Lepisosteus oculatus: one gene and its partners. The protein of the gene in region 3 purifies or fractionates together with the protein of the main gene of each other region. This does not show direct contact. Links are inferred from orthologs where the notes say so. Each region holds a gene or a part of one and is shown on either strand. Other genes may lie near its edges.

Region 1 (7,643 bases), on a different chromosome or scaffold from region 3:
GACGTAGAAATGCTGAGACGGAAACGGAAAGGCGGAGTGAGCGTCGGCGCTTCATTCGTGTTGTAGCGTTGTTGCTTTATTTATATTCGTATTTGTGTAATTAAATTGGGTTTAAAGGGGTTCTCCTTGTGGAAGTGGGACACGATGTTTTATCACGTAAGTAGCTGAATCGTTAATTTCCGCGGTCACGTAGCCTGGCGGCTCTGACTGGGGGAGAACGCTGGGCTCAGAAACGCAAGAATATTCATATTTCATTTTTAAAGTGCAAAGTTCGTCTTTGCCGGAATATTTTATAGCAGGACTGACAGAAATAAACATATTTAAGTGTGCGCAAGTGAACGCGTCTCCATTCTTGCCTGTCGACAAACGTTTCAATGTGAAAGGTTTTATTTTTAGAAATAGAAATGGGAATGCTTCATTTCACCGAACCTGCTTATGAGTTTCTCTATCCTCCTGATCCGCTATGTGTCTCCCAGCTGGCGGTGAATTGGGTCTCTCCTGTCTGGGGAGACTCCTGGGGAAAGTGCGGTGTAAATACAAGGAACTTGCTAAGCGCTGGTCACATGGTGCAGCTGGCGCACCTCACACCAGAGGTTTAGAGGATTAATCACTGCCTCCTCCAGCACCTGCTGAGGTGATGTCGCGTCCTTGTTTGACCGTCTTGTGGAAGAGCCGTGCAACAATTATTTTTAAAAAGTGGGCAGGTGCCCTGGTCTCCCGCTCTGTAACGCCTGCCTCCCTCCCAGATCTCCCTGGAACACGAGATCCTGCTCCACCCCCGGTACTTCGGCCCCAACCTGCTGAACACGGTGAAGCAGAAGCTGTTCACGGAGGTGGAGGGCACCTGCACGGGCAAGTGAGTGAGCGGGATCGCTGCAGTCCGCTCCGCTCCGCTCCAGGTCTTCCCTGCGGCGCAGGTGCTGACGGCCCCCTCTCTCTGTCTCTGTGGCAGGTATGGCTTTGTGATCGCTGTGACCACCATCGACAACATCGGCGCCGGCGTGATCCAGCCTGGCAGGGGCTTCGTGCTGTACCCGGTCAAGTACAAGGCCATCGTGTTCCGACCCTTCAAGGGAGAGGTGGTGGATGCTGTGGTCACTCAGGTCAACAAGGTCAGGACAGAGCATGGAGACCTCCTGATGGCCTGTCTCTCTCTCCCCTTCTCATCCATCTCTCCTTTCCTACCTTCCTAATCACCTGTCTCTCTCTCTCTGCTCTCTTCAATCGTCCTAATGGCCTGTCTCTCTCCCCTTTCTTCAATCGTCCTAATGGCCTGTCTCTCTCTCTCTGCTCTCTTCAATCGTCCTAATGGCCTGTCTCTCTCTCTCTGCTCTCTTCAATCGTCCTAATGGCCTGTCTCTCTCTCTCTGTCCTCTTTTCTACCCTCCTGACGGCCTCCTGACAACCCGTCTCTCCATCTCCTAGGTGGGGCTGTTCACAGAAATTGGACCAATGTCGTGTTTCATCTCTCGTCACGTGAGTACCGGACCCCTCTTCCTCTCTAGTCCCGATGCTCGGCCCTGCTTCCTGTTTCCCTCTCTGCTGCGACTTGGAAGTCTGTCCCAGCTCTCCCTCCGGCGCTGCAGGACGGTAACTGTTGCTCTTGTGTTCACAGTCCATTCCTTCAGAGATGGAATTCGACCCGAACTCCAACCCTCCCTGCTACAAGACGGTGGACGAGGTGAGTCTGGGCTTGGGTTTAACAAGGAGAGGCGCCGCCCCCCCCTCTCTCTCGCTGCCCGCTATTGCAGAGCTTCTGACTCCCCGCCGCTGGTCGGTCTGTCTGTCTGTCCCGTGCAGGACATCGTGATCCAGCAGGACGACGAGATCCGGCTGAAGATTGTGGGGACGAGAGTGGACAAGAACGACATCGTGAGTGTCTCTCTCTCTCTCTCACCCCTCCCCCCCATCTCTCGTGCTCCCGGTAACTCCCTCCCTCATGTTGTTTTTCTCTTTCAGTTTGCAATTGGATCCCTGATGGATGATTATCTGGGTGAGTCCTTCAGTCAGTCATTCCAGCCACTAGTGTTGCAGCATTGTGTGCTGTCTGTCACTGTCGCCCCCTAGTGTCACTGGACTGGGATTGCAGCCCCCAGTGTACCAGACTGTCCTACTGAACTGGAGCCCCCAGTGTAACAGGACTGTCCTACTGGACCGGAGCCCCCAGTGTAACAGGACTGTCCTACTGGACCGGGACTGGAGCCCCCAGTGTACCAGGACTGTCCTACTGGACTGGAGCCCCCAGTGTAACAGACTGTCCTACTGGACTGGAGCCCCCAGTGTAACAGACTGTCCTACTGGACTGGAGCCCCAGTGTAACAGACTGTCCTACTGGACTGGAGCCCCCAGTGTACCAGGACTGTCCTACTGGACTGGAGCCCCCAGTGTACCAGGACTGTCCTATTGGACTGGAGCCCCTAGTGTACCAGGACTGTCCTATTGGACTGGAGCCCCCAGTGTACCAGGACTGTCCTATTGGACTGGAGCCCCCAGTGTACCAGGACTGTCCTATTGGACTGGAGCCCCCAGTGTACCAGGACTGTCCTACTGGACTGGAGCCCCAGTGTAACAGACTGTCCTACTGGACTGGAGCCCCCAGTGTAACAGACTGTCCTACTGGACTGGAGCCCCCAGTGTAACAGGAGTGTTTTGGCCTTTAAAGATGAACCTCACTGTTGCTTGAATGAAGGAATGATCGCTCTCTCTCCGTCTCTCTCCAGGCCTGGTCAGCTGATCCTGCTGCAGAGGAAACTGGAGAAGAGAAGAGATCTATTTTTATAAGTGTCTGGCATCAACCCCCACCTCCCCCACACGAACCCCGACAGCGCAGCACCCCCACGAGAAGCTGCGCCCCAACTCTGCGGCCCCTGCGGGGGGGGGGGGTCAGGGTGTCACGGTTCCGGAGCACGAACCAGTCTGGGGGTGCAGCTCTCCCCAGACTGCGGGCCGAGAGAGCTGCGTTCTCTGGCTGCCCCTGCCCCTGCAGGTGACTCAGCAGGTTCTTGCTGGAGTGCTGACTCGTCAGTAACCCCCCTGCGCCTGTTCTGCAGTGTCACCCCTCCCCCCCCCCGCCTGCTGTTCCGCACTGTGGCCTCTCCCTCCTGTCCAGATCAATAAAAGCCTTTTGCTGCCCTGACTTCCAGGCCTTCACCTTGTTGTCGTTTCTTTTACCGGGGTTCGTATTTGTATATGTGCACAACAAAGCTGAAATCCTGTAATCTGTCTCCTGATAACCTATACTAATACAGTCTGTCTCACAAGAGTCTGGACCCCAGGGGTGTCTGAACAGCCTGTCCAATATGAGTCTGGACCCCAGGGGTGTCTGAACAGCCTGTCCAATATGAGTCTGGACCCCAAGGGTGTCTGTACAGAGTGTCCAGTAAGAGCCTGTACCCCAGGGTGTCTGAACAGTATCTAGTAAGTGTCTGTACCCCAGGGATGTCTGTACAGTGTGACCATTAAGAGTCTGTACCCCAGGGGTGTCTGTTCAGCGTGTCCAGTAAGAGTGTGTACCCCAGGGGTGTTTGTACAGTGTGACCAGTAAGAGTCTGTACCCCAGGGGTGTCTGAACAGTATCTAGTAAGAGTCTGGACCCCAGGGATGTCTGTACAGTGTGACCATTAAGAGTCTGTACCCCAGGGGTGTCTGTTCAGCGTGTCCAGTAAGAGTGTGTACCCCAGGGGTGTTTGTACAGTGTGACCAGTAAGAGTCTGTACCCCAGGGGTGTCTGAACAGTATCTAGTAAGAGTCTGGACCCCAGGGGTGTCTGTACAGTGTGACCATTAAGAGTCTGTACCCCAGGGGTGTCTGTTCAGCGTGTCCAGTAAGAGTGTGTACCCCAGGGGTGTCTGTACAGTGTGACCAGTAAGAGTCTGTACCCCAGGGGTGTCTGAACAGTATCTAGTAAGAGTCTGGACCCCAGGGGTGTCTGTACAGTGTGACCATTAAGAGTCTGTACCCCAGGGGTGTCTGTTCAGCGTGTCCAGTAAGAGTGTGTACCCCAGGGGTGTCTGTACAGTGTGACCAGTAAGAGTCTGTACCCCAGGGGTGTCTGTACAGAGTGTGCAGTAAGAGCCTGTACCCCAGGGGTGTCTGAACAGCCTGTCCAATATGTGTCTGGACCCCAGGGGTGTCTGTACCGAGTGTCCAGTAAGAGTCTGGACCCCAGGGGTGTCTGTACAGTGTGTCCAGTAAGAGCCTGTACCCCAGGGGTGTCTGAACAGTATCTAGTAAGTGTCTGTACCCCAGGGATGTCTGTACAGCGTGTCCAGTAAGAGTCTGTACCCCAGGGGTGTCTGTACAGTGTGACCAGTGAGAGTCTGGACCCCAGGGGTGTCTGTGCAGTGAGTAAGTTATCTGCTTTGGCAACACTGATTGTACCCATCGGTCATGCTAATAAAGCACCTTGAATTGAATTGAATTGAGTGCACCCCCAGATAACACATGCAGGCATGGAGTGCCGGTCTGGGGCTGAACCCGGGATGTGAGAATCGGGAGGCAGACCCGCCGCGCCCCGGGGACGCGGGCACTCAAGCCCGGTGGGAGTTTGCCGCACTACGGAGACGGAGGAGACCAGTCCTGCGGGCAGACGGCGCCTCTCGCCGACCCCTCCCCCCGTCACAGCCCCGCCCCTCTCACGCAGAAACCCCGCCCCCCCTCGCGCGCCACGCGGCCGGCCTCGCTATACGTCACTCGAGCGCGCCGCCCTTCCTTCTTTCTCTCCTGTCGAAGATGGCGGCCGGGGTGAGTACGGAGCAGCCGGGGCCGGGTTTTCAAACTGGTGGGCGCCGGCAATCCGGCCGCCATCCCCCTCATCCTTCGCCGCTCGGCCCGGCCGCTGGGCGCTGCGGGGGCCGCAGGCTGCTGTGTCTCCGCAGGGAGCTGTATTTCTCTCCCGGATGGCGGAGGAGGGGAGGGGGTTCGCTCGGTTTTATTGTTGGGAAGCGGCTCCGTCACGGACTCTCTCGCCGCTTGCTTACAGGCGCCGGTGCCGGAGAGACGCGGGGTGGGGTCGCAGTCCTGCGAGAGGGCGCTGCTCTGTGGTGTCAGGGGGGGGTCCGGGAGCTGTGTGGCGGGGGCTCGGCTCGGGGGGGGAGGCCCGGCTGTCAGTGAGCCGGGTCTGCGGGCCCGGGCGTGCCGCCGCTCCGCTCGCCGGTACCGGACACAGGACACAGGGCAGAGGACAGAGGGGGGCCCCGGCTGTGTGTGTGGTGGGGGACAGAGGGAGCCCCTGCTGTCTGTGTGTGTGTGGTGGGGGACAGAGGGAGCCCCTGCTGTCTGTGTGTGTGTGGTGGGGGACAGAGGGAGCCCCTGCTGTCTGTGTGTGTGTGGTGGGGGACAGAGGGAGCCCCTGCCGTGTGTGTGTGTGTGTGGGGGACAGAGGGAGCCCCTGCCGTGTGTGTGTGTGTGGTGGGGGACAGAGGGAGCCCCTGCCGTGTGTGTGTGTGTGGTGGGGGACAGAGGGAGCCCCTGCCGTGTGTGTGTGTGTGTGGGGGACAGAGGGAGCCCCTGCCGTGTGTGTGTGTGTGTGGGGGACAGAGGGAGCCCCTGCCGTGTGTGTGTGTGTGTGAGGGGGACAGAGGGAGCCCCTGCCGTGTGTGTGTGTGAGGGGGACAGAGGGAGCCCCTGCCGTGTGTGTGTGTGGTGGGGGACAGAGGGAGCCCCTGCCGTGTGTGTGTGTGTGGGGGACAGAGGGAGCCCCTGCCGTGTGTGTGTGTGTGTGTGAGGGGGACAGAGGGAGCCCCTGCCGTGTGTGTGTGGTGGGGGACAGAGGGAGCCCCTGCCGTGTGTGTGTGTGTGGTGGGGGACAGAGGGAGCCCCTGCCGTGTGTGTGTGTGTGGTGGGGGACAGAGGGAGCCCCTGCCGTGTGTGTGTGTGTGGTGGGGGACAGAGGGAGCCCCTGCCGTGTGTGTGTGTGTGGTGGGGGACAGAGGGAGCCCCTGCCGTGTGTGTGTGTGGTGGGGGACAGAGGGAGCCCCTGCCGTGTGTGTGTGTGTGTGTGGTGGGGGACAGAGGGAGCCCCTGCCGTGTGTGTGTGTGTGTGTGGTGGGGGACAGAGGGAGCCCCTGCCGTGTGTGTGTGTGTGTGTGGTGGGGGACAGAGGGGCCCCTGTTGTGTGTGTGTGGTGGGGGACAGAGGGGCCCCTGTTGTGTGTGTGTGTGGTGGGGGACAGAGGGGCCCCTGTTGTGTGTGTGTGTGGTGGGGGACAGAGGGGCCCCTGTTGTGTGTGTGTGTGGTGGGGGACAGAGGGGCCCCTGTTGTGTGTGTGTGTGGTGGGGGACAGAGGGGCCCCTGTTGTGTGTGTGTGTGGTGGGGGACAGAGGGGCCCCTGCTGTGTGTGTGGTGGGGGGGGGCGCAGAGGGAGCCCCGGGTCTCTCTCTGAGTGGTCAAGTGGACTGTTTGAGGGGTGACAGTGTGCCCCCACATGCCCTTGGGCTGTCCAGAGCTGCTGGCGCAGGTGTCCGGACGCCCCTGGTTCTGCTCACCCTCTGCCCTCTGTCTCCCCAGACTCTGTACACGTACCCCGAGAACTGGAGAGCCTTCAAGGCTCAGATCGCAGCCCAGTACAGCGGCGCCAAGCTGCGCCTGGCCTGCACCCCCCCGGACTTCACCTTCGGACAGACCAACAAGAGCCCGGCCTTCCTCAAGAACTTCCCCCTGGGCAAGGTGAGGCGCCGTGGGCGCAGGCCAGCGAGGAGCGCCCCCCCCCTCCCCTCCCTCTCTCACTCCCCCTGTTTCTCGCCCAGGTCCCTGCTTTCCAAGGAGACGATGGCTTCTGTCTGTTCGAGAGCAACGCCATCGCCTACTACTGTAAGTCCTGACTGGCACTGCTCACTCTCTCCTCTCTCTCTCTCTCCTGTCTGGGGGTCTCACACACACACTGTCTGTGTGGGGGCTCTCTCTCTCTCTCTCACTCTCCTGCCCTCTGTCTGTAATAATACAGTGTGTGACCTCCTGTCCCAGCCTGAGGAACAGTGAGCTCCAGATGTTTAAATGTAACTGTATTTAGAGGGGTCTGTATTTTGTGTTAATTGTATTTGTTTTGCTTTGGCAACACTAATTTATTCATTGGTCGTGTCAATAAAGCACCTTGAATTGAATTGAGAGACTGAGTGTGTGTGATCGACTGGCTTACTGGCACACACACACACACAGAGAGAGACAGTGTGTCTCAGTGTGATTGACTGTCTAGCTCTCTCTGTGTCTCAGTGAGCCAGTGTCTCTATGTGATTGACTGTCTCGCTCTCTCTCTGTGTCTCAGTGAGCCCGTGTGTCTCAGTGTGATTGACTGTCTCGCTCTCTCTCTCTGTGTCTCAGTGAGCCCGTGTGTCTCAGTGTGATTGACTGTCTCTCTCTCTGTGTGATTGACTGTCTCTCTCTCTCTCTGTGTGTCTCAGTGAGCCCGTGTGTCTCTGTGTGATTGACTGTCTCTCTCTCTGTGCGTCAGTGAGCTCGGATGCTCTCAGAGGCACCACTAAGCAGGACTCGGCCCAGATCCTGCAGTGGCTCAGCTTTGCGGACTCTGAGGTCATCCCCCCGGCCAGCACCTGGGTGTTCCCCACGCTGGGCATCATGCAGTACAACAAGCAGGTGAGTCCCAGCGGCGTCCACAGCGGGCTGCTTTCGTCCGCGTCTGCGCCGGC
Region 2 (7,506 bases), on a different chromosome or scaffold from region 3:
AATATCTATACAGCACATGGGAAAGACTTGGGATTTATTCACTAGCGGCCCCTGCTGGGGAAAATTACTGATTCAAGCACACTTACAGGATCCCCAGACAAGACCGTCCATCTGGATGCTTCTGACACACTCCTCCAGTTTGGCCATGTCTGTCTCGTCATCCCACGGCTTCACGTCCAGCAGGATGGAGGACTTGGCGATGAGCGCTGGCTCTGGAGGAAAAAAAAAAAAAGACGAGGGTCACCCGGCACACTAAAGCACATTGCACCGCTGCATCAACTCTACTGTAAATATGAACGCTGGCAACCATCAGATCAATAACAGTCCATCAGGGATTCAGTCGAAAGATGGTGAGTTAGATCATCACTGTTCCAGCGAACAAATCACCGCTCTGAAAAATCCCCCCTTCAAAATAATTTGCGATCCCCTCCAAAGAATCGAGCCCCACAAACAAAACACTTTCATTTTTTTGTGCCCCAACGGGCAGCATCTGAAATAAAACCCAGATCACCTATAAATTCACTACTGACATCACTGCAAATCCATGAGCAATACAAATGAGCAGATCCACCATGACCAGTTTTCGTAATCTACAGGTACTCAAGAACTCCCAAGCCTTTCCAGCTGTTTGAAAGCACACCGGAATCAAGCCCGGAAACGCAATCAAAAGGTGTGTTTGGTGCAATACAGGTCAGGGAGGGATATTAGAGGGTTGCTAGATATAGCCTGCTCCCTGCCACGGGGACAGAATATAGGCGGTAAGCTTACTTTTGGCTTTCTTTGCTTCGTAGGCCGCAAGACGCTCCTCCCTCACCCTCTTGGCCTCTTCACTCTCCTAAGGGGGGGGAGAAATCAAGAAAGTTACCTCCCAAAAAAAAAAGAAAATCGGACAGACCAGGAACAAAGCATCAGATACACGCACAGACAAGCAGGAGACTGCTGGCGGCCGTCAGACATCAGAATGTCCATCACGTCTTCAGCCGAAAGATGGTGAAGAAAAATCACTCTGGCCAGCCACAAAGGGAAAAACACGATCTGGACGAGGAGCTGGCAGAAACCATTCTAGGAGAGCCGCCGCCTTCAGTTAACACTTCAGTTCACGCGCGGCTTGAAATTTGCTTGTAATATGATTATCTATGAACCGGTGCCATTGTGGCATCTCTATATCGAACGATATGCAGCTGCGAAACAAGATTGCGTGAATCGGTTACAAGGGCTCCACGTGGAACTCGGACGTGTTGCAAGGCAGCTCAGTGCTACACATTACAATCAACAGCAGTGCCTGGCTGCACAAGACCGATAACTCATTGTTAAAAGATGAATTGGGGATTGTCCAACCCCTGGACACCTCACTTTCCACATCCACGTATAATCTGTAACAAATCTACAAAATGATTCTTCCCCCCCGTTGCAAAAGTGACTCTCTCAGCTGGCTTTGTGCAGAATCCACACGCACTCACCTCTTCCTCATCAGACCCAAACAGGTCGATATCGTCGTCGTCCTCCTCCTTCGACTCGGTACTGGTGACGTCTTCCACTCCAGCTGGGCCATACTTCCCCAGAGGCTTCTTCACTCCAGGAAGGCTGTGGAGATAAGGGACGGGAGTATGAGATGGGAGACAATAGCGTACACCACCTCCTGCAACCGAAATGAACTGGTTGGGGTCAGAGCTGATAAGCTGTGCATCACAGGCTCAGGCGAAAGATGGTGAAAACGATCATCACTCCACCAGTTAACACGGGCTTCATTTTACAACACAAAGAAGGCTTTTAAATTTCCTCTCTTGCTTTGCCAGCCAGTACCTTGCTTTCTCCTTCTCGTAGGACCTGATGTGATTGTACCAGCGCAGGGCATGGAACAGGTCTGCGGAAGGCGGGCTGGAAAGGGCCTCGAACACAGCGACATCTGCCTGAGACGGAACGTATCTGTTCAGAAAATAAAAGCCCACATTACACGTACGGTACAGACAACGGATTCTTCCTGAAAGGGGCACTTAACATCACTGTTGGACACGGTTATCAACTATATTAATCGATAGACGTAGGAGTCAAAACATTCTCCGAGATTCAGTCTTTCACAACTCTTCAATCTTGCGACACATCTTCCAAAATAGTACGCATGAGGCGAATTTCACATTTGAGGAGAATAAATTCATTTCAGCTGGGTGAATGAGTGATGCGTCCGTTTTCTTTTTTAGCACCCCCGCAAAACTAATCGACCCGAGCAACGAAAGGGTAAAAAAAAAATTGTGCCATTTCAAATGAATCCAAATACATCCCGTCCTGTTATTTTTTTTACTGAAGTTGTGCTAAAAGGAGTTTGCACGGCGCAGACAGATGTCGGGGACACTTTCAATGGGCTCCTAACAAGAATATACTGATAATGCAATGCAGTTAAGCCCGGTAAAAATGCCTATGGCCTACAATGTCAGGATATGATTAACATATGAGAATCGAGTACAAAAATCGTTTTACTTTCATTAGTTTCGTTTTTTTAATATTAAACGTTTAAGATGTATTTTACATATTATCAGCCCATTTTCTCCACAACCGCACTCCCAAGTCCTTAATCACTGAGCAGGCCACAGGCCTTGCCGGGTAAGAGTTACGTGTCAATTTTAACGTTTACGTAACAGAATCGCGAACTACACCCGTTTTTAAATAGGAAAAAACTAACATCGGTGATTTTATTAATCCGGTTTTGTAGTTTTTAAACGATAAAATCCCCTTTCGTTTAATCTGGCGCCAACGTGTCACGGCTAACATGACTCGTGAGGCGTGCTCAAAAAAACTTCCCAACGTGCAAATTAAAAAAAAAACGTATACCGTGTACAGACCCCTCGATATAACTTTTATCAGCCAAAAAGTCGTTGAGGACCTTCAAGCCGGCCGGGGTTTTAAGATCTCCAAAGCCCATTGTATTAGATTTGTTGTGCAGACCTCGTTTCAAAGACCCGGGGGTACGATTTCTTCACACCAGCGGTCCAGCAGGAAGAGAGAAGGAACGAGTTTCTTCTTACGATGACATTTATACCTCTGACGACAACACTGGCTCCACCCTCACCTCCTCGGACAACTAATTTATTAAGAACTACCTATTATATAATATAATGAACGAATCTTATTCGAAGTTTTCAATGTGTTAGGGGAAAATGACAAATTATCCAACTTTGAATTTGCATGACGAGAAAGATCCATCCGTCGTGTCTCAAACACACAGCCTTAAGAAATGCACGTCCGAAGCACTTCGGAGAGACTTTAATTGATGTGTGAAAGTTCTCGCAGAATCCCAGTAAAAGTTTAAACTAGAAGCAATGATTTGACAGAGCTTATCGTGTGGAAACGAAGAGAAATTAAACGCGTCAGGCGGTTCTCAGAGAAGAATTCTACATTTTAATCAATATTCCAAAAAATAAAAAGCAATATTTCTTTATCTTCTCACTTTATACTATTTTGATGGGGGTTTTCTGACTTTACATGAAAAAGAAATTAATGCAATACCTAGGTAAATACGTTCATTCATGTAGGAAGTGACGAAACGAAGGTTAAAGGTGAAAGGTTCTTTAATATCAAAATAAAAATAATAATGACATATGCTAGGCAAAATGGATGTATTTGGTATAGAATAAAATAAAATTAGTCTCTTTGGAAAAAAATAAATCTTTTGCGGTATACGTTATTTGATCATTTTCGTTATTTTCTCCGGAGATTGCCGAAGTCGCCATACTGGTAGAGCGCCGCTGTTCTGGTCTAGAAGGCCAAATAGCGACAAGGTAAGATGACCAAAACAGACCTCTGAAGTTGAAGTGATTAGTGTGTGGGCATGCAGATGCTTACTTTTTAAACTGTCGTCAAGCTACAATTAAAAGACGTTGAAGTTTGCTGTTTTTTAGAGTGAAAAGAAGGGGTTTGTTATCTCTTTCTGTGCCCTTGACTCTTCAGTTATGTAGCTTGCAGTGCCCTGCAACAACCTGAGCTCTGTGGTGTAATGGAAGAATTGAAAATTAATTAACTTGTGAGAGATGAAATTTATTTCTTTGTGAGCTGTTGGTCTGCCTCCTGTTTACCAAGTGTCACTTTGAATGTCGGAGGTTCTTATCATTGTACACGCCAACATTTTGTGTTTTAGTCCTAATGCTGTTCTTTTGCACATAAAGTGAGAGGATGCATTAGGTAGCTTTGGGATTTCATTTTCTAAAGTGTCTTAAATAGATAGAGCCGGACCGTGTTGTGTTAAGACATGGGATTTAGAGTCGTGTGACCTTTTTGCCGTTTCTGGGTCGTCTGTGTGTTCATGAAACCCATTCTTCTAGTGTCAATGTCTGATGTGTGTTTTTCTTCCAGCGACATGTTGCGTTTACCTGCGGTGAGACGTGCACTTTCAGGGGCTGCCCGTTCCCCAGCTTGCATAAGTGGGAAGAACAATGGTAAGCCCAAAAAATATCTATCAGTGATCTCTAAAGCTGAGCACACAGATGTAAACAGAGGGAATGTCCATTAGACAAGTGTTGCCTGGGGTCTTTCTGGCTGTTCATCTCTCTTGGTGGATGTTGCCACTTTGCGGTGCTTTAGCAAGACAGTTCTGCCTGGGCTGTTGCTCTGAGTGGTGTTTAGGAGCACCTGTATATACAGCAGGAGCATTGATGTCTTTGGGTATCCCAGCCCTGTGTGGCAGCTGTAGTGCTGCTTTGATTTTGCTGTACAAATCCGCATTGGTAGAATAAACTACGCCGCTGAGGATCCGTACTTGTGCTTCTCAAACTCTTCCCCCAGAAAGATCGGCGGTGTGTGGTGGAATCGGAAGAGATCGCGTGTCAGCTCTTTCCAGCACTTCAAGCAAATCAACCGTAGCCTTAGTTGAAACAAGCTCATAGGCTGGTTATGAGCTCACGTTCACAAACAAATTATAATTGGGGGGAAAAAAATTAGTGCTGAATCTTTTCCTGTACCACAAGTCTTGTGAGATCTTAAAATCATGATGCGGGCTGAATACAGTGCTGAGAAGTGTTATTTGAAACGCTTTGCAAAATAAGATAGTAGTGGAACTTGTTTTCAGTCCAGACCCTTAAATTCTTTTGCATTTGTTTCCCATTATGTTTACAACCCCCATCCAATAACATGATCCTCTGTGAGGGGCATGAACAGTTTTTACAGGGCATAGCTTGTAATCCCACTCAGCTGGGGGAATATTCACAGCCCATCCCATCCTTCTTGTTAGCTTGGTTTTGCACACCACTGCCTTCATCACTACCTCGACTGGAGATAATCTTGTTTGTTTTGCTCATTTCACCGGTTTCAATAGGGTTAAGAGATTGTTCTTTTAATGGGGCACAGTGGTGCAGTGGCTGGCATTATTGCCTCACAGCGTGGGGGCCCTGGGTTCAATTCTGGACCCAGGGTACTGTCTGTGTGGAGTTTGCATGTTCTCTCATGGTTCTAGTGGGTTTTCTGCAGGTGCTCCGGTTGCTCCCACAGTCCAAAAACATATTGGCAGGTTAATTGGCTTCTGGGAAACCTGGCCCTGGTGTGAGGGTGTGCGTCTGCGTCTGTGTGTGCCCTGTGATGGACTGGGGTGTCGTCCTGGGTGGATCCTGCTTAGTGTCTTTTGGTCGCCTGGCTCTGGCTCCCCCTCAACCGAATTGGATGAAGTGGTTAGAAAATGGATGGATGGAAATGTGTACTTCTCGTTACTTAACAAAAAGTAACAAGGGAGTAACAAATAACAAGGGTGGAGCAGTGACACTGTGGCTAAGGATCTGTGCCCGTGGCCGGCAGAGGAATCCTACTCTGTTGGGCCCCTGAGCAAGGCCCTTAACCCCAGCTTCTCCAGGGACGCCGTATAAATGGCTGACCCTGCGCTCTGACCCCAAGCTTCTGTGTCTGTGTGTCTCATGGAGAGCAAGCTGGGCAATGTGAAAAGACAAATTCCTAACCCAAGAAATTGTATATGGGCAATTAAATGATCTTATCTTAGTAGGAGGAACTTAGTAAAACCTGAATTGGAAGAGGCAGCTGGAAAATGGTGATCCTCAAGCCAGCCTTGCATTTGCATACTGCTGAGAGACTGGTTACAAAAACGAATGAGGAAGAGTTCATTGCGCTGGGTTTCTCGTTTGTGTCTGCAGTCCGCACCACAGCTACAGCAGCCAGTAACCTTGTTGAGATCTTTGTGGATGGAAAGCCCCTCATGGTTGAACCAGGAACTACAGTGCTTCAGGTGAGTTCGTATTCCGAAATGGTTACCATCTTGAAAATCAGTGTAAACTTTGTGAAACTGCAGGGGTATTGTGGTCCATATTTGTATGGACAGGTCAGTCCACTTTTGGAAATGTGGGTAATGAGTTTTATTTATCCTTTAAATGGTGAAGTACATTTTGGGGGAAAACAGATAGGAAGTATTAATAGTTACCTGTCATTTAATTCGGACCCAACTGATTTTTTTTTTTCTAGGCCTGTGAGAAAGTCGGAGTTCAGATTCCACGCTTCTGTTATCACGACCGACTCTCAATTGCTGGAAACTGTAGAATGTGTCTGGTGGAGATTGAGAAAGCACCCAAGGTACGGGTCTTCCAAATTACAAGATTTCGAAAGCAAATGATAAGTGCAAAGGATTTTGAATTTTGATACATGGAGAAAATCACATGGAGTTTTGGTGGTTAAATGTCTGTTGAAAGACCTTTTCATGTGGTTTTGTAAAAGTAGCTGCATATCAAAAGGATTAAAACATCTGTGTTCATTCAGCTGTGATCAAGTATGTTGGATGTATGAGCATCAGGTGTTGCAAATACCATTCTTTTCAAAATAGCAAGGTTGCGCATTTTGATTTGAAATTCTCCAAAATGTTTTCACCACGGCTGTTTAGATGGCTGTGATTCAGAAATGTTTTGTGCTAAATTTCTTATTTTAAGTGTTTGAAATGCTTTCTACATCTTTGTTATTAATGGCATAATTACGCAGGTAAGCATTGTGATAGTATCTGGCAATTAATACCACCAGTAACTGTTAAGGGAAATGTTGTCAGCTGGAAGATAATTGGTAAATTTAAGGAAACTGAAGAGCTGACTAATTTAATGCACATTCAGAAATGATCACTTAAACTCTTCGTCTTTGTTTCAGTGGAATCTAGGTGGCAGAAATCTAGTAACATGTCTTTCATGGCAGTGTCAGCACGAGTCGTAAAATGAAACCGTTTCTAACGCTTTCTTGCCTTTTCAGCCCGTGGCAGCTTGTGCAATGCCAGTCATGAAAGGTTGGAATATCCTCACAAACTCTGAGAAAACCAAGAAAGCCAGGTGAGGTGGAGAGCAGGTAGTTCTTTCCTGCCCTGCGTTTGTGTTTTCCTGTCATCCCGTTGCGTGTTTTCAGAGAACAGCTTCTTATGGGTGTTATGCCCTGTGGGGCCCAGTGGCCGCTCGCGGTTGGCGGTTTCCCGGGAGACCGGAACATTTCCACGAGGAATTGCGGTCGGGATCACCTTTTGGGTGGCTCCTTCCTTTGCCGTTCGGG
Region 3 (7,053 bases):
TGCTCTAAAAAAAACACTTCTGACTCAGTACCTTAAAGGCTTTTGGGAGGGAGCTATATGTAACAACTCCTCTTCTGATTATGCAGCATGGCCATAGTTTATCAGAAGAGGGGAGAGGTTTCATTCTTTGTCAATGAGACAGTTAAGGATACTACTGTACAGTATGTCCTTGCTGGTCAAAAACAGATTGCAGCAGTGAGGTGAAATTTTAATGGAGTTCTAACAAAAGTGTGGGAGGTTTGAAGGCAGCAAGACAAATAAAGCTCAACTGCTGCTTCCCACAACTTATCCTGATGTAATTTCTCAGATTCCCATATGCACCACACTCTTCCTCGCTTGTTTTGCATTCCTCCACCCAACTCCCACAGTTGCAGCTACCCCTTGGTTGCCTTTTTCTCCAACCATGGAGCTCGCAGCCTCCCTGTCCTATGGCCCTAAGCCATGCGGGCTAAGCCATCCTTTCACAAACTCAAGAAACGATTCTGCTGTAAACACAATTTTCACTTGCCTTAATTCCTTGTTAAATAGAAGACTACAGATTGGAAGTAGGGGAACCTGAGCCAGAATGCATTATGTCAAAGTGTGGTACACAATTGTGAGCCTTTACTCTTAAGAATTCACTGGACAAAATAAGGAAAGAAACTCCCTGAGATCCAGGCAATGTGTGAATGCTTTAATATGAGACAGACATCCATCACCTTCCCAGGCAATCTCATGTCTCTCATTTCAACTTTTTGATTGAGTACAGGTGGACACCAGTGAGGAGTTCATGTTCAATCTCACACACCATAAACTGAAGATAATCCCCCTACAGAACCCTGAAAAGATTGTGTTTCTAGTCTGTGAAAGATTTGTTCAACACATGACACATCCTGGTCACACAGCTGTTGGTGATTGTAAATTTCCACCATTTTATGAAACGGGGTTCCTAATATTTTGGCCGTTGAGTGTATTTCATCACACTAACTGATTAAGGCATTTTATGACACAATCACTGGTTCAGTTCCTTCCAGGAAATCTATTCAGCGTTCACAGAAAGGTATCTGGATAATAAGTATGTCACTGAAATGTTGACTCACCCCCGAGACTGAAGAAGTCATTTTTAAATGTAGAAAAGGTTGCTTTAGATTGGCAATAGGACATATTTGTCAGTGATTTAAAATCTGTTTAACACTTACAGGTTCTGTGGTAAAATCTATTAAATGCTTAGATTAACATCTGATGCAGTTTCACAGCTGGGGAAGTGTTAATTTGTCTCACTGTTTTTAATGTGTTTGTCAGATGTGCAGAAAGGTTAGTCTATATTTAGTCTAGCTTGCTTTCCAAGAGAAGAAATCCTTCCAAACTGGAGAGTTACCAAGTAACATAGAGCATGGAAGGTTTATTTTTCAGAATGAAAAGTCTGAAATGTCCCTGAACTTTCTCATTCCCAGAGGAAAGTGCATTGACTTCAGTTTTCTTTTCTTGACTGTTAAAACTTCCTGCCAGCTTCTTGGATATGTTTAGATTTCCCATGAGAAATATCTACTTGACAGTGATACAGATAATTGATTTTATATTGGATAATATGCCATAATATTGGATAACATGACTTTCTTTCAGTGCAATACAGGGGACAACAAAATATTCAAAAGAAAGACAACTTCCATGTGGAGCTCATTAAGCTTACCCCAGTGTCCATAGATCAAACATTCAGGTTCTGACTTTAACCAGTCGTAAACATCAATAGAGACTTAAACAAGTAGGAGTGAAATTGACTAAGATTTTATTTATTTGGAAGACATAGCACTGTAAAAGCCAGCAGCCATATCACCCTGATGCTCTCAACTGGCTACTTGCTGAAGCAAAGCAGAGTTGAGCCTGGTCAGTACCTGGATGGGAGACCTCCTGGGAAGCTATGGTTGATGCTGGAAGAGGTGTTTGTGGGGCCAGCAGGGGGCACCCACGCTGTGGTTTATGTGAGTCCTAATGCCCCAGTATAGTGGCGGGGACACTATACTGTAGTGGGTGCCATTTTTCGGATGAGATGTTAAACTGAGGTCCTGTCTCTCAGTGGTCATTAAAGATACCTGGGCATTCCTCAATAAGAGTAGGGAGTTATCCTGGTGTCCTGGCCAAATTTTCCCCCTCTTACCGTGGCCTCTAAATTGTCCCCATGGATGATTGGCTTGCACTGGCCCTGCCATGGACTGGCGCCCTGTCCAGGGTGTACCCTGCCTTGTGCTCATTGCTTGCTGGTTAGGCTCTGGCTTCCCGCAACACTATAAAGTGGTTTGGCAAATGACATGACATGACATAGTACTGTGATTGCTACTAATCATCTAGACTCAAAATTATCATGTAAATGCTAACAATTCTCATTTTAGACAAAGGTTAAACACACTTTGTCACTTTTTATGTTCTTATTTCATTGTTGTGCTTTGGTTGTATTGCTGCTTCTTATGTTCAAACACCACTACCACAAACCACACTTTGAAACCCAGATGGTAAACTGCTTCATCTTTCATCTTCAATCAAAAAAGCAATTTTAGGTGTGCCGTGTAAGTCTTGAAAGTTTCAAGTGGACTTTATTTTCCTGCATTTGTCATTTTAGTGGTTTGGTTTTTGGGAACATTGCAGGCAGGGCTGCATCCAGGGGTGTTATATCTTTTTATAATACTACCAATTGACAGACTAATGCTATCAACCTAGACATCAGCAGGAGTAATGACTTAGGAAAGACTGTAAAAACTATGGCTGCTAACACAATGGGGCATCCCATGATCATAATGTTCAGAGCTGTCAGTACTCCATGTCATGGTAGCATCATGACTCAAGCTTGTAACTAGGCTTCAAGAGTGCAGCTTGTGTATTGTTCATATGTAGTGATGTGTTCCCTGGATATTTGCAAAGGATGGTATTTTCTGACACCCACTTTATCCTCTCCAACTTAGTAATTGCAGAGCACATGTCTGCAAGGAAAAAAAAATGCAAAAGCCCTCTAATACTTGTTGTGTAGATAATCAAGCCTGTGGTCACCTCCCCAGATAAACTCTACATGTTGTCTGTCTTGAGCAACAGGCATGCTCTTTTAATGCCAGGTGTTTATTTTTAAATTCTGGCTTGTATCAGACGATATCAAGATACAGTGGCTTCGTTTAGAACTCAAAAGAAGGATCTAGTGCTCATGATAATTCTGTTCAAGTGCCTTGTTGAATGCTGATTTCATTCATATTAGTGAATTCAGTCAATATTAAATATGTTTATGTTGTCTTAGAAGTAAACTTTTCCTGAAGGTGGTCTTTACACAGTGATCTATATCTAACTTTAACTTATTAACTAAATTAACTTATTTCTTCTACGAAGTAAAATACTAATGCATAGTGATCTGTTCATTTAACACTTTGAATGCTTGTAGTGATTGAAAACATCATACTGTGTGTTTTTCTATATAACAAGAAATGCATACCGTACATAAAACAGTTGGAGAAATCTGTGCTAGAATTTGTTGAATGTGTTTAAAAAAATCATAGTACAGACCTGTCTTTCAGTGCACATACAAAAATGAGAAAGAATCAAATCACTGAATGTATGTTCTATATAAAAATACAATAAAACTAAGCTGACCAATGGCAACATCTTTTTAAATCTTAGCTAAAGTTAAACTTATTTAACCTGCTTAGCAACAAAGAAATCATAAAAGATGAATTGATAAACAACATACACTTCAGAGGGGAGTGCTAGACAGAGTCAATGTTTTGTTTCAGTAGAATATTGATTAATTATTTGTGTTTTTATTTTGGTGCTCTATGTTTTGGCTCTACACCCCCTTTAAGCAACTCAGTTCCTCCCGTTAATAGAGGTTACACGTACAGTATAATCACTCTGTGCGTTTATACCCTTGGCTAGCTGTGGGCAAACTTGCTGGTTTGGATGTGTCTTGTATGTTGGGAGCAGAAATGAGCTTCTTTGCTGAATCACTGGGTCTCCCTCTTGCTCTGCTGCAGTTGCTTCACTGCAGTCTTTGCTTTTCTTACTCTGCTACCGCATTGCCGTATTACAGGGGGTGCCCGCATTGCGCAGGGGAGACAAATGCTTCAACCCCCTCCCAGGGACATAAAACTGCCTGGGCTGGAGCTAATAGTCCCTGCTGTCTGAGATCGCAGCCACAGGTAAGAGGCAATATGAATCTGCTATACTATAACCTCTTCTGCTGCAATAGGGGGAATTTCTTACTGTTTTTTTGTTGGTATGTTTTCATGAAGCACCGGGGTTCAGAGTGTAAAACCGAGAGGTCCGTCTTCACCTGCTGGGAGGTATCAATGTTTGCTAGGAGACATGTAGAACATGATGCTAAAAGTAATTTGTTACCTTCAAGAAGAAAACTAGAGACACATTCTCAACAAGCAAAATTGAATATTCTACTGACTCATAAACTGCAACTCTCTTGCAGTGGTTTTCTGGTAAGGATGGGATGATATCAATTCGAAGTAATGGAGGAATCAAACTTTGCAGCTTGCAAAGCCAGCTATGTTTTATCGGGATAAATAAAAAGACAAACAAAGATGTTTGTTTGCTGGGGAATCCACTGCTAAGGACATTCGAGGCCTTTGCTTTATTTTCATGAGGACCAATGAGCATGAGCATAGCATTGCGCTATAGAATACAGGATTTTAGATTCAAGACCACAATGACATAATTATTTTGATAACTCTGTTTTAAACATGCAGCAAATACCTTCTGCTCTAAATGTTACTAAATGTTTGCCATCTCAATATTACCACACCTGGGCTCAAGGGAACTAATACATTCTAGAACTAATAAATTAGTTTTACTTGATTTGGTTGAAATGTTAAAATTATTCCAAATATCTAGAGGATCAAGCACATTGCCTGGCTCAAGGATTGACAATCAATAATCTCATAACAGACGAGGTTATAAATTAATACATTTCTTATGACCTGGTTAGAGTATGATTATTTCAATCCTGTTTGCAAAACTATGTGACAAAACAACATAATACATGTTATCTTAAGATTAAACGTCTTTTTCCATATACTGATGCTTTTCTAAAAAGATTTTTAGCCTCATTGTCTTTTCTTCTTGCTAAAATGGTGAAATTAATGATTAACTATAATTGAGAAGTTATTTAACGTTAATATGCTTATTTTAATGAATGCTGAGATTTGTTTGCCTACAAGCCAGCCTGTCTGTCTGGTTAAGTACAGTTTGACTTGAGTGGATTATTCTCTTTGATCTGATCTTGACAATCAGGGCAGCAGTAGTACATTGCCTAGTGTTGCTGGTATATAATGAAAACATTCAAATGAATGTGATTTGATATTGTTAAAAAGTGCATATTAAACAGCTAATGTGAAATGATTGCTGAATTAAATTTAGCATGTCTGATTTCTTTGTTGGGTGGGTGAAACATGTATATCCTGCATTAGCAAGGTTTAAACTCGAATGTTTGTGGTTCTTGTATGAAAAATGAACATTTCGAACTATTTTCCCATTTCTCATTGAAATAAATATAAAAAAAGTTATTAAATGCATTCAGTATATAAAATGTTTACAATTTTCAACTGTAAATGGGGCTGCAGGTCTCAGAAACATCCCAAATTCAGACCCTTCTGTCCTGACATTGTAAAATTATTGATGATTAATAATGACAAGTGATCATGAAATAATGAAAAACATCATGAAGTTATTGTTCATTTAGATTAGTGCATTTAAGCTTGGTCAGTGGGATACTATAGTACTGGGATAGCAGTGGATCCTGTCGTCCTATGGTATGAAAACAATTTTTTTCCAAATAAACTCCAGAATACATTTCTAATACACAATATTATTAATATATTTAGATATTATTATGGAGGAGTAATGAAGTTTGTTTAAAAAACATTGCAAATCGCAGTAAGTTTGTTATATCAGATGTTAGATAACGATTATTGCATTAACTGGTACTGTTTCTAAGTAGAAAAAGAATTATGTGAATTTCATTTTATTTTAATATCTTTGGAAAGAAAATATCTTAACATATTCAATTACAGAAACAGTTGTTTTAATTCTTTGTGACATTGGCAGCTTGGTCAAGAATTTAGTCCTGTTCATGTCTTAATGTCTGTCTGATTCATACTCATATACAGTACAGTATGTTGTCTCAGTATGAGTCTCTGTCTACAAGGTCATGGTACTTTCTAATGTGTAAAGACTTAAGAGGCAGCCATTTTAGGCATGTATTTACATATAATGTCAGATCTGCAATTCAGGGAAAATTAGGGCAAATACATCAATGAATAAATAACCTTCTGCTTCCCATTCTGAGAACTTTCTTATTACTGTAGATTAATGGGAAGTTTAAAATTAAAGTATTAAGAGGGACCCTATTCAGGATAGACTAGTTTTGATAGATTTCTTTGATGCTCTTCAGTGATTAGTAACCCTCTCTAACGTGGGATGTTTCATCTCCCCTCTGCTTCTCCCCTAGACCTGCCTTGTTCCCAAGCTTCCAACTAGCTCGTCGCTGTCCTTGGAGACCTGAGCTGTAGAATGGGGAAGGAGAAGGTCCACATCAACATTGTGGTCATTGGCCACGTGGATTCTGGAAAGTCCACCACCACTGGGCACCTCATCTACAAATGTGGAGGGATCGACAAAAGAACCATTGAGAAATTTGAGAAGGAAGCAGCAGAGGTAGGACAAATGCATGCCCAGCTCACGAAACCCGAGAAATGTCAAAACCTAAAAAGTTCACTGTTTTCAGCTTTTCGTTCCCTCTTAGTTTAGGTTACGCTGCTGCTGAGGATGGTAGGAAGTCTGTGGTGATTTGTCTGAATATCATCTCCTTTTTTTGTGATGTTATAAATGCTTTTCTCTGTCTCTGTTACATTGCATTAGGGCTGATCACATTTTAGAGATCTTTTAGATGGAACATGAGACTCAGCAGCCTGCAGGCTTGCACACAGCTCCCGTACCTTTGAATGAGACCCAGCCAAGAGATGTGGAAAGTTTCCATTATTAGCTTCCTTATTTAGTAAGCACACTCCATTTTCTGATGCAGTGTGGCCCTTA

The links. The genes of interacting proteins can lie anywhere in the genome.
Region 1: the proteins of eef1a2 (region 3) and eef1g purify together in Homo sapiens (affinity purification with mass spectrometry; 4 studies listed by BioGRID and IntAct, counting the BioPlex papers as one, with this or other methods). This does not show direct contact. The link is inferred for Lepisosteus oculatus from reciprocal best matches to the Homo sapiens genes EEF1A2 and EEF1G.
Region 2: the proteins of eef1a2 (region 3) and eef1b2 purify together in Homo sapiens (co-immunoprecipitation; 4 studies listed by BioGRID and IntAct, counting the BioPlex papers as one, with this or other methods). This does not show direct contact. The link is inferred for Lepisosteus oculatus from reciprocal best matches to the Homo sapiens genes EEF1A2 and EEF1B2.

The regions. Positions count from the first base shown.
Region 1 is NC_090713.1:22,718,677-22,726,319, forward strand, and holds the start of eef1g (elongation factor 1-gamma), read left to right. Parts: upstream 1-4,637; 5' UTR 4,638-4,731; coding exon 4,732-4,743; intron 4,744-6,507; coding exon 6,508-6,666; intron 6,667-6,746; coding exon 6,747-6,810; intron 6,811-7,447; coding exon 7,448-7,590; intron 7,591-7,643. Other genes in the region: polr2g (DNA-directed RNA polymerase II subunit RPB7), read left to right, coding at 145-156, 747-856, 953-1,112, 1,426-1,476, 1,616-1,681, 1,801-1,872, 1,960-1,993, 2,721-2,734. UniProt on the Homo sapiens protein: Probably plays a role in anchoring the complex to other cellular components.
Region 2 is NC_090707.1:32,795,228-32,802,733, reverse strand, and holds the start of eef1b2 (elongation factor 1-beta), read right to left. Parts: upstream 3,007-7,506; 5' UTR 2,918-3,006; coding exon 2,838-2,917; intron 1,927-2,837; coding exon 1,804-1,926; intron 1,585-1,803; coding exon 1,461-1,584; intron 836-1,460; coding exon 769-835; intron 213-768; coding exon 87-212; intron 1-86. Other genes in the region: ndufs1 (NADH-ubiquinone oxidoreductase 75 kDa subunit, mitochondrial), read left to right, coding at 4,349-4,427, 6,126-6,217, 6,451-6,558, 7,216-7,292. UniProt on the Homo sapiens protein: Catalytic subunit of the guanine nucleotide exchange factor (GEF) (eEF1B subcomplex) of the eukaryotic elongation factor 1 complex (eEF1).
Region 3 is NC_090711.1:7,367,276-7,374,328, forward strand, and holds the start of eef1a2 (elongation factor 1-alpha 2), read left to right. Parts: upstream 1-4,044; 5' UTR 4,045-4,151; intron 4,152-6,469; 5' UTR 6,470-6,531; coding exon 6,532-6,675; intron 6,676-7,053. UniProt on the Homo sapiens protein: Translation elongation factor that catalyzes the GTP-dependent binding of aminoacyl-tRNA (aa-tRNA) to the A-site of ribosomes during the elongation phase of protein synthesis.